2 linked regions of the Caenorhabditis elegans genome follow. The protein of the gene in region 1 interacts with the protein of each later gene in a pairwise test. Each region holds a gene or a part of one and is shown in the gene's direction. Other genes may lie near its edges. The genes, in order: ifet-1 and ife-3.

The links.
Region 2: the proteins of ifet-1 (region 1) and ife-3 interact in binary tests that used the Caenorhabditis elegans proteins (3 or more experiments, as listed by UniProt).

Annotation. Positions count from the first base shown.
Region 1 is NC_003281.10:4,473,108-4,477,027, reverse strand, and holds the start of ifet-1 (Translational repressor ifet-1), read left to right. Parts: upstream 1-1,877; 5' UTR 1,878-1,884; coding exon 1,885-2,057; intron 2,058-2,105; coding exon 2,106-2,296; intron 2,297-2,343; coding exon 2,344-2,447; intron 2,448-2,497; coding exon 2,498-2,583; intron 2,584-2,631; coding exon 2,632-2,741; intron 2,742-2,787; coding exon 2,788-3,627; intron 3,628-3,675; coding exon 3,676-3,920. Other genes in the region: rps-3A (Small ribosomal subunit protein eS1), read right to left, coding at 214-468, 518-913, 959-1,081. UniProt on the Caenorhabditis elegans protein: Involved in translational repression of multiple mRNAs in the distal gonad. Recruited to the 3' untranslated region (UTR) of zif-1 by oma-1 and is required for translational repression of zif-1.
Region 2 is NC_003283.11:6,198-10,117, reverse strand, and holds ife-3 (Eukaryotic translation initiation factor 4E-3), read left to right. Parts: upstream 1-2,288; 5' UTR 2,289-2,299; coding exon 2,300-2,467; intron 2,468-2,508; coding exon 2,509-2,685; intron 2,686-2,724; coding exon 2,725-2,960; intron 2,961-3,007; coding exon 3,008-3,182; 3' UTR 3,183-3,530; downstream 3,531-3,920. Other genes in the region: B0348.10 (uncharacterized protein), read left to right, coding at 1,379-1,543; idpp-2 (Intrinsically Disordered Protein, expressed in Pharynx), read right to left, coding at 3,607-3,920. UniProt on the Caenorhabditis elegans protein: Recognizes and binds the 7-methylguanosine-containing mRNA cap during an early step in the initiation of protein synthesis and facilitates ribosome binding by inducing the unwinding of the mRNAs secondary structures.

The DNA of each region.
Region 1 (3,920 bases):
TCTTCCATCATCTTGTTCTACCGTGCGCCAGCTTGACACTCTCAATCCCATCCCGTATGTCCACACCAATCATGCTTGTTGGGTTTAGATCTCATAAATATTTCGTTAACAAAATTGAGTTGTATTTTTCAGATATATATGATGTATGTTACTTTTGAAGTTTTTTAATTTTAACATTTATCGCAATGCGACATAACAATGAAATTATAAGACTTAAACTTCTTGTTGGACTGGTGGCTCGTAGTCGTCTGGGCGATCAACCTTCTCACCGTCGGCTCCAACGGTGATGGAGTCTCCGTGCAAGTCGTGAAGACGTCCAAGATCAACCTTTGGTCTCTTGATGATCTTGACCTTACGGATGTAGACTTCTTGGAGTGGGTAGAGCTTGGAGCAGGTCTTCTCAATATCTTTTCCGATGGAATCTGGGATGAGCTTGCTGACAACCTCCTTAAGGTCGCATCCGGTGACCTGCAATAAAAAATTTGTTTTCTTTCATTAGTTATTTTTTGCTACATACCTCCTTTTCGATGCATCCGATCATCTCGGAACGGATCTTGCGGATCTTGGATGTCTTGGTGTAGGAAGTCTTCTTGACTTGGTTGACGGACTTCTTGGTGAAGGCGATAACGAAGACACGGAGAGTGTATCCATCAGTGGTCTTGACGGCGGTGTTGGCCTCGATGAGAGTATGCCACTTCTTGACGATGGAGCACAACTTATCGTGGGTCATCGACATAGCGTGGAAGTTGGTGAGAACGTTCTTTCCCTGGACATCTTCAGCGATGAGCTTGAACTTTCTGAAGTCGGCCTCAGAGTTGTTCAAGTCTCCGAGTGAAACCTCGAAGACACGTCCCTTAAGTCCTTCGGAAGCGATCTTAGTTCCTTGGGTTCTGTTGATAAGGGTCTTTCCAACCTGAAAATAGCATTTATAGAATTATAAAACAAAATAAAACGTTACCTGGCGGGTGTTGAACATGTTTGGGGCCTTGATGTCGTACCATTCCTTGCGGGAGAATGGATCCACGGCCTTCTTCTTACCTCCCTTCTTTCCCATCTTGTTATTGTTCTTTCCGACCGCCATGATTGAAGCGGATTGATGCCAAGCTGTGTCTGAAAATAGGAATACATAATTTAACAGTACAAATTGAGAGTATAAGCTAAAAATTCGACGGAATTTTCCACTCGACACATGAGTTTGCAATAAGATATTAATAAACACTTGAATAAACGGATAACTGTTTGAAAAATTGATTTTTTTTCAAAAATTGCTGAAAAAATAGGAGGGAAACGGAAAAAGAAGGCACGGAAAAGTCCTAAAATTTGCAATTCTCGAGTTGCGTCGCAAGTGTATGCCATACACTCCGCATGACGCTCCACAATGCGTATTACCGTAGTCACAGCGCGTGAGAGACATCTTCTCTCAAACAGACCCGTTTTCATTCGTTCTTACGCTTATTTCAGACGTCTTTCCAGATTATGCGAAAATAAAATTAAAGCATGCAATTCGTCTCATTTTCAGCTGCCATTTCAGCTATAATAGTTGTCATACCTCTCGTTAATCGGAAATTAATAGGCCAAAACCAAATCCATTCAAATTTTGGCGCTAAATTTTTGAAGATGTGCGCAGCGCCAGAACTTTTATGTATTTTCCAGCTCTAATGGGTTTTCAGTTGCTTCTTATCAATTTTGGTCGCCAAAATAAGTTTCTGCGCGGTAAATCGCTATGCTTCGTTTTTTTAGTTAGACATAACAAAAAATCGATATAAACTCGATTGCGATACGTTGTTCTTGCGCAGCTGGCATTCTCTTCTTTTCTGACTGCGATGGATTTTAATGCTAATTGTTGAATAACTAATCATAGACATTCGATTTTTCAGTGTAAATATGACTAGTCATCTAGACGACGAAGGCCTACACCCAATGGTCTCAACCCTTCTCGGAGGGGGCACACTTCCGACGGTACCGTTCAAAGCGTACACCAGAGAACGAATGATGGAACTGAGAACTACCAAAGCAAGCATGACGAGGCCTGAAAACCTCTCAGAAGATTTCAATGGGTTAGTGGTACAGTACGCAAAATATAATTGCATAAAATACAATTTCAGCGAAGATGGTAAGTTTTCTCCTTTGAAATGGCTTGAACACCGTTGGGAAATCGAAGGAATTAAAAATCGTCCGATGTCGAAAAAAATTGATTCGTTATGCGCTGGCGCTGATGAAAATACGGGTTTGTCTCCACAACGGAGAGCATTTAGCAGTGGCTGCAAAGCACCAACAGACGACAAAGGACGTGACGGTAATCAGCTTGGAAATACGAGTTTGATCATAAACTTTATTTTTCAGGAGAGTACGAAAGATTGGGAGGGCATGGAAAGAACTGGAGAAACGGAAGTACCGGTGGTGCCGATAAATTTGCTTCGAGAGGAAATGACTTCAAACCATCCTTCGTACGCAGTTTCAAAATATAATGTTTCATGTTTTACCAAACATTTTTCAGCAGAAAGGTAACCAGCTTGAACGTGGTACTCGTGGAGCCGAATGGAAAAAGGATACGACACGAGGGGCAAAATTCGCACCACGGAGGTTAGTATTGAGTAGTAGCTAAAAATAATGCTGATATTTCTAATTCAGAGAGGAACGCCTTACGAGCTTGAGCGGAAGTGAGAAGCTGCCAGAATGGGCTGACGGTCCCACTACAATGGACGATATGATTGAGTTGCGCGGATTTGATGAACCAAAAAGTATTCCTAATGTCTCCTATTTATTTTATAATGTTATTCTTTTCAGAAGTGAAGAACAAAAAGAATCCAAAGGAAAAGAAGGAGAAAGAAGCTGTGAAAGCTCCGGAGCCAGTGGAGTGCGTTGGATCCCGTCCGTCATCAACTGGTCTCAAGACTTCTGAACCTATTGACGATCCAGCAATTGCTTATTCTTCTTCGGGAGGAGGAGCTCTTCCGGCTACGGATCAGGAACTCGCGGCTCTTCTGGGATGTCTTGACATTCAAAAAACATCAAGAAAGATCGATGGCGACGATATGGCTTGGGCGCACAAGAGTGAGGAAACTGCTGGAGGAACTAGTCGTCTCAGTCGGTTCTTCGCAAAGAAGAACAAGTCCCCTGAATTGGACGCTATGCTTTCGTCAGTTGGAGGCGGAAACGATGAAAACGTGGCTAATCCAATGCTTGCAAGACTTTTCGGTCATAGTGGTGGTGATAACAACGCTTCATCTTCTGGAGCTGGTGATATAAAAGGAGGAATGCGGTTGGAAGATTTGGAGAAAGGCATGGAGTCAAAGGAACCTTCAAAAGTCAGTCCATTGCAAGATCCATCACAACAAGCACAACTTCTGCAACATCTGCAAAAATTCGCCAAACAGCAAGCAGAGTCTGGTCAGCACATACATCATCATAGACAACCAACACCACCAAATGGAGGTCCACAGCATCAACAACATTTGCATCACCCTATGGTTCATCCTGGAATGCAAATTATCGCAGATCCAAGCCTTCTTGCAAGCTTCGCACAGAATCCAGTGATTTTGAATGCCTATGTCGAGAATCAACTTCAAGAAGCAGTCAATGCTGCAATTCGTGCAAACAATGGGCAGCAGCTTCCACCACAGCTTCGTATGTTAAGCATTTTTGAATACATTTCATGATTGAATTATTTTTCAGATGAGCAACTTCGTATGGCATCCATGCGTAACAAGGCTTTCCTACAGTCTCAGACTCTCACTTTCGTTAGTCTTCAACAACAGCATCAGAACATCCAGCAGCATCAGCAACAACAACAGCATCATCAACACAAAGGTCGCACTCCTGCTATGATACCTGCGTCTGTGCAGCGGCAATTGCAGAAGAGCTCCTCAAATGCTGATCAGAAGAAAGAAAAGACGAGTCAGAGCCCGCCAGAGAGCAAC
Region 2 (3,920 bases), on another chromosome or scaffold:
ATGTATTTTGCACGATTTAGACAGTTTCAAGTCAAATTTTTGACGATAAATTATCAATTTTACAAAGCTATTGGATCTTCGAAAATTAGTCTTGCAGCCTCTAATAGTCTTGCAGTCTCTATTAGTCTTGCACCCCTACGGGTCAATTGAAAATTAGTCTTGCATGCAAGACTAATAGAGGGAATACGGTATTTTCGTTGTTTTTATTGAATTTTACGTCGAAAAAAGTATTAAGAACTTAAAAATTAAAAAAAAAACTAGTTTTCGTTTTTTGGAGCGTTTTCAATAGCTCGTGGAGCGCGATTTCACCAGAGATCTTTTTACAGCGTTTCCATATAACGTGGAATTCCTCATTGTTATGCGAACAATTTAAGACGCTTAAATAGGAAATGATAACATAATTATTTTGTCGAAATATATAAGAAGAGTCTGAAAAAATTGAGCTTCCGACTCTTTTTTGCCGCAAAAAAAGTTTACTTTTTTCCAGTAAACTTTTTGTGCCGCACACCTCTATTCTGCAAACAAACTATAGAATTTCAAATGCTGTGGGCTTCGCGTGTGTGAGTGGAAATGAAAATAAATAAATACATACTAAAAAGTGATAATCACATCAAAATTTAGTTCCTACCGCTGCGACACTGAGAAGTTGTCAAAATTTAAGATTTTAGCTGAAAATATACCATTTTCCGAGCGGTCATAACTTTTTTTTTTGAGAAATTTTCAGAACATCTCATTACGAAATTAGTTTTGGAACATTTTGGGTCCCAAAAAGCCAAGTCTCGAATTTCGGTGATCCTCCTTTAAGTCTGTGGAACTACTGAAAACTAGCAAAAAACGATGATTGTTAGGAGAATAATGCGGCTACGAAAATGTTGTGTGTATGTGTGTGTGGGGGCGTGGCGCTCTCCGAAGACTTTACGTGGACGACGTGGTAATTATGACGGTCAGAAGGCGGACAAGAGTGCGAGAGACGCAGAGAAGAGAAGCCCAACAGCCGTCGCCGAAAAAATAGACAAAGTATTCGTGACTATGGCTCACCGCCAACACTCTAAAACGGGAAAATCGATGTGGTGGAGAGGAGGAGGAGACGGAGGAGAGAGAGAAATACAGCGAAAGAAGTCGTCGTCGGAGGGCCCCCGACGTCGTCTGACGGCGGGGTGTCAGACGCAGTAGGTTAGACGAATGGCGCCTCGGGGCAACGCTTGCTGCGTCTCTGCGATTCGGAGAACTGTCTGGCCACCTTTTTACGGGACGATGGGCAGGGAAAACAAGGCAAAGTGAGAGAGAGAGAGAGAGATATGTGCGACGAGTTGAGGCACACAGAGAGGGAAAAGGCGCCCAGCGGCAGCAGCAGCAACACCCAGACCGATATATTTATATGTGCATGTTGTGGAGGCTGCTGCTGTATGTGTCTGTGTGTATGCTCACAAGAGCTCGAGACACCGGGACGGCTCATGAATTCCTGACGACGACGGCGACGCTGAATGCGGCAGAAGGAGAAAAGAAAACGGAGACGCACTCGTGGATAAATTGGAGAAATTGAGAACCACAGGCTGTAAACAATGCACATTTTTTGGGAAAACTCAGATTATCGACTGCAATCTGGAAAATAAATTTTTGAATTTTAAACCTGAAAATATAATTTTTTAGCCTGAATTCCCTGAAAGAGCTCAATTTCTGTGCGAATAACGAGTTTTCAGCGATTAATTTCATTATTTTACCGAATTTTCAATAAAATTTGAAAAATTTTACCTAAACAACTCGATTTTTATTTTAATACAAAAATAATTTTCATATTTTCCGCTGTTTTGTTTAAAGGGGGGCGCAATTCCGCAGACAAGATACTTCGCAACGACAAAAACTACGGTTACACTCGTTTTGCGTGTGTCTGGTGTTTGAATTTCAGGATTCGCGCCTTTCTTTCCATTTCTTCATTTTCCAAGGTTTTTCGGGGAAATCGCTCTTTTTTTTTTCACTTTTACGATTAAAAAACAGCTAGAATGTTTAAAAACTACTAGGAATTTCATGGGAAACGAATCATTTGATGATTTTTCGTCGAAGTTGAGCTGAATTCATTTTCTACTTTGTTTTATTGTTTTCCAAGCTTTAATATCAATTTATTGTGCCCGATGTTACCAATTACACTTGAAAAATCTAAAAAGCTTGGAAACTAGCCGAAAATGTGCAGTAAAACAAAATTTCCTATAAAATCCGAGTTATTTGAACCAAATTCATACTCTTCTCTATTTTATCGTTTTCCGAGCTCTAATCGTATATAATATTACCTATTTTCAGCTAAATGAGCACATCCGTAGCGGAAAACAAAGCATTGTCAGCTTCCGGCGATGTGAATGCGTCCGATGCTTCAGTTCCTCCAGAGCTTCTCACCAGACACCCCCTCCAGAATCGCTGGGCTCTCTGGTACTTGAAAGCTGACCGTAACAAGGAATGGGAGGATTGTCTGAAGGTAGAAGATTTTTAAATACGTCTTTTATCGATTTTTTCCAGATGGTTTCACTTTTCGACACTGTCGAGGACTTCTGGTCGCTGTACAATCACATTCAGTCTGCCGGAGGATTGAACTGGGGATCCGATTATTACTTGTTCAAGGAAGGAATCAAGCCAATGTGGGAGGACGTCAACAACGTTCAAGGTGGACGTTGGTTGGTTGTTGTCGATAAGCAAGTACGTTTTGAGAAATATATTTTATTCAATGAATCATAGAAGCTTCAGAGAAGAACGCAATTGCTCGATCACTACTGGTTGGAGCTGTTGATGGCTATTGTTGGAGAGCAATTCGACGAGTACGGAGACTACATCTGCGGAGCTGTCGTGAATGTTCGTCAAAAGGGTGACAAGGTTTCCTTGTGGACTCGTGATGCTACTCGCGATGATGTCAATCTTCGCATCGGACAGGTTTTGAAGCAGAAATTGAGCATTCCGGATACTGAGATTTTGAGGTAATTTTACAATTTTAGTATTTGCTATCTAAGTAAAATATTTCCAGATACGAAGTTCACAAGGACTCGTCGGCTCGCACCTCATCGACTGTCAAGCCACGCATATGTCTTCCAGCCAAGGATCCAGCACCAGTGAAGGAAAAGGGACCAGCCGCAACGACTTCTCCATCGAATCCCGGCACGGAGGCTACAGGAACTTCTCCAGCCACCCCAACTCCTTAAGCATATTCTAAAGATCTCACCAATTCCTCTCACCGTAAATGAGCTTCCCCGTACTCCCAGTCTCAATGTTGTCTTGAAAAATGAACTGTTTTTCGGACACGATCATCGCTTTAACTATTCGAAAATCAGCTCATTTTTCAAGTCGTACCCCCCACCTAATGTATTGGTGCTTCCCCTCCAATTTGTACCTACTGTTTCGCTTCCCCCTATTGATTTACCGGTTTTCGTATTGCTCTCTTGTTGTTACTAGATTCGAGACTGATCGACGCCTGTAGCCGAATTCGTTTGTTCTTCAGGTTAATTGATGAATATATATTTATTCGGTAAATATAAATAGATATGTTAGTTATTATTCTTCTTCACACACATGATTTGTAGGGCGTTTGATTTTGTACATTTTTAAAAATTGATTCTATTCTTGTTTTCAGGCAGACTTCTCCGATGTCTTTACAGTTTTTGCAGGCTTTGCCGTAGTCGATGTGTTCGAGCTAGACGAAGGAGCTGCGGCAACAGTCTTCTTGGTTGGCTTCCTAGCTTTCCGAGGTTTCCGTGTGCTCGTCGTGCTCGGCGAGCCGGTAGTGGTCTTTTTGTTTGCTTTGGCCGCATCGTCGTGTTGATAGGAATCAACATCCCGCGACATAATTCCCATCGGAGAGCCAATTCCTCGGTTCCAGTGATTCGAAGCAATGTTCATGTTGTAATCTATGGGAATTCCTCCTCCACGTGATGGGATCTGTG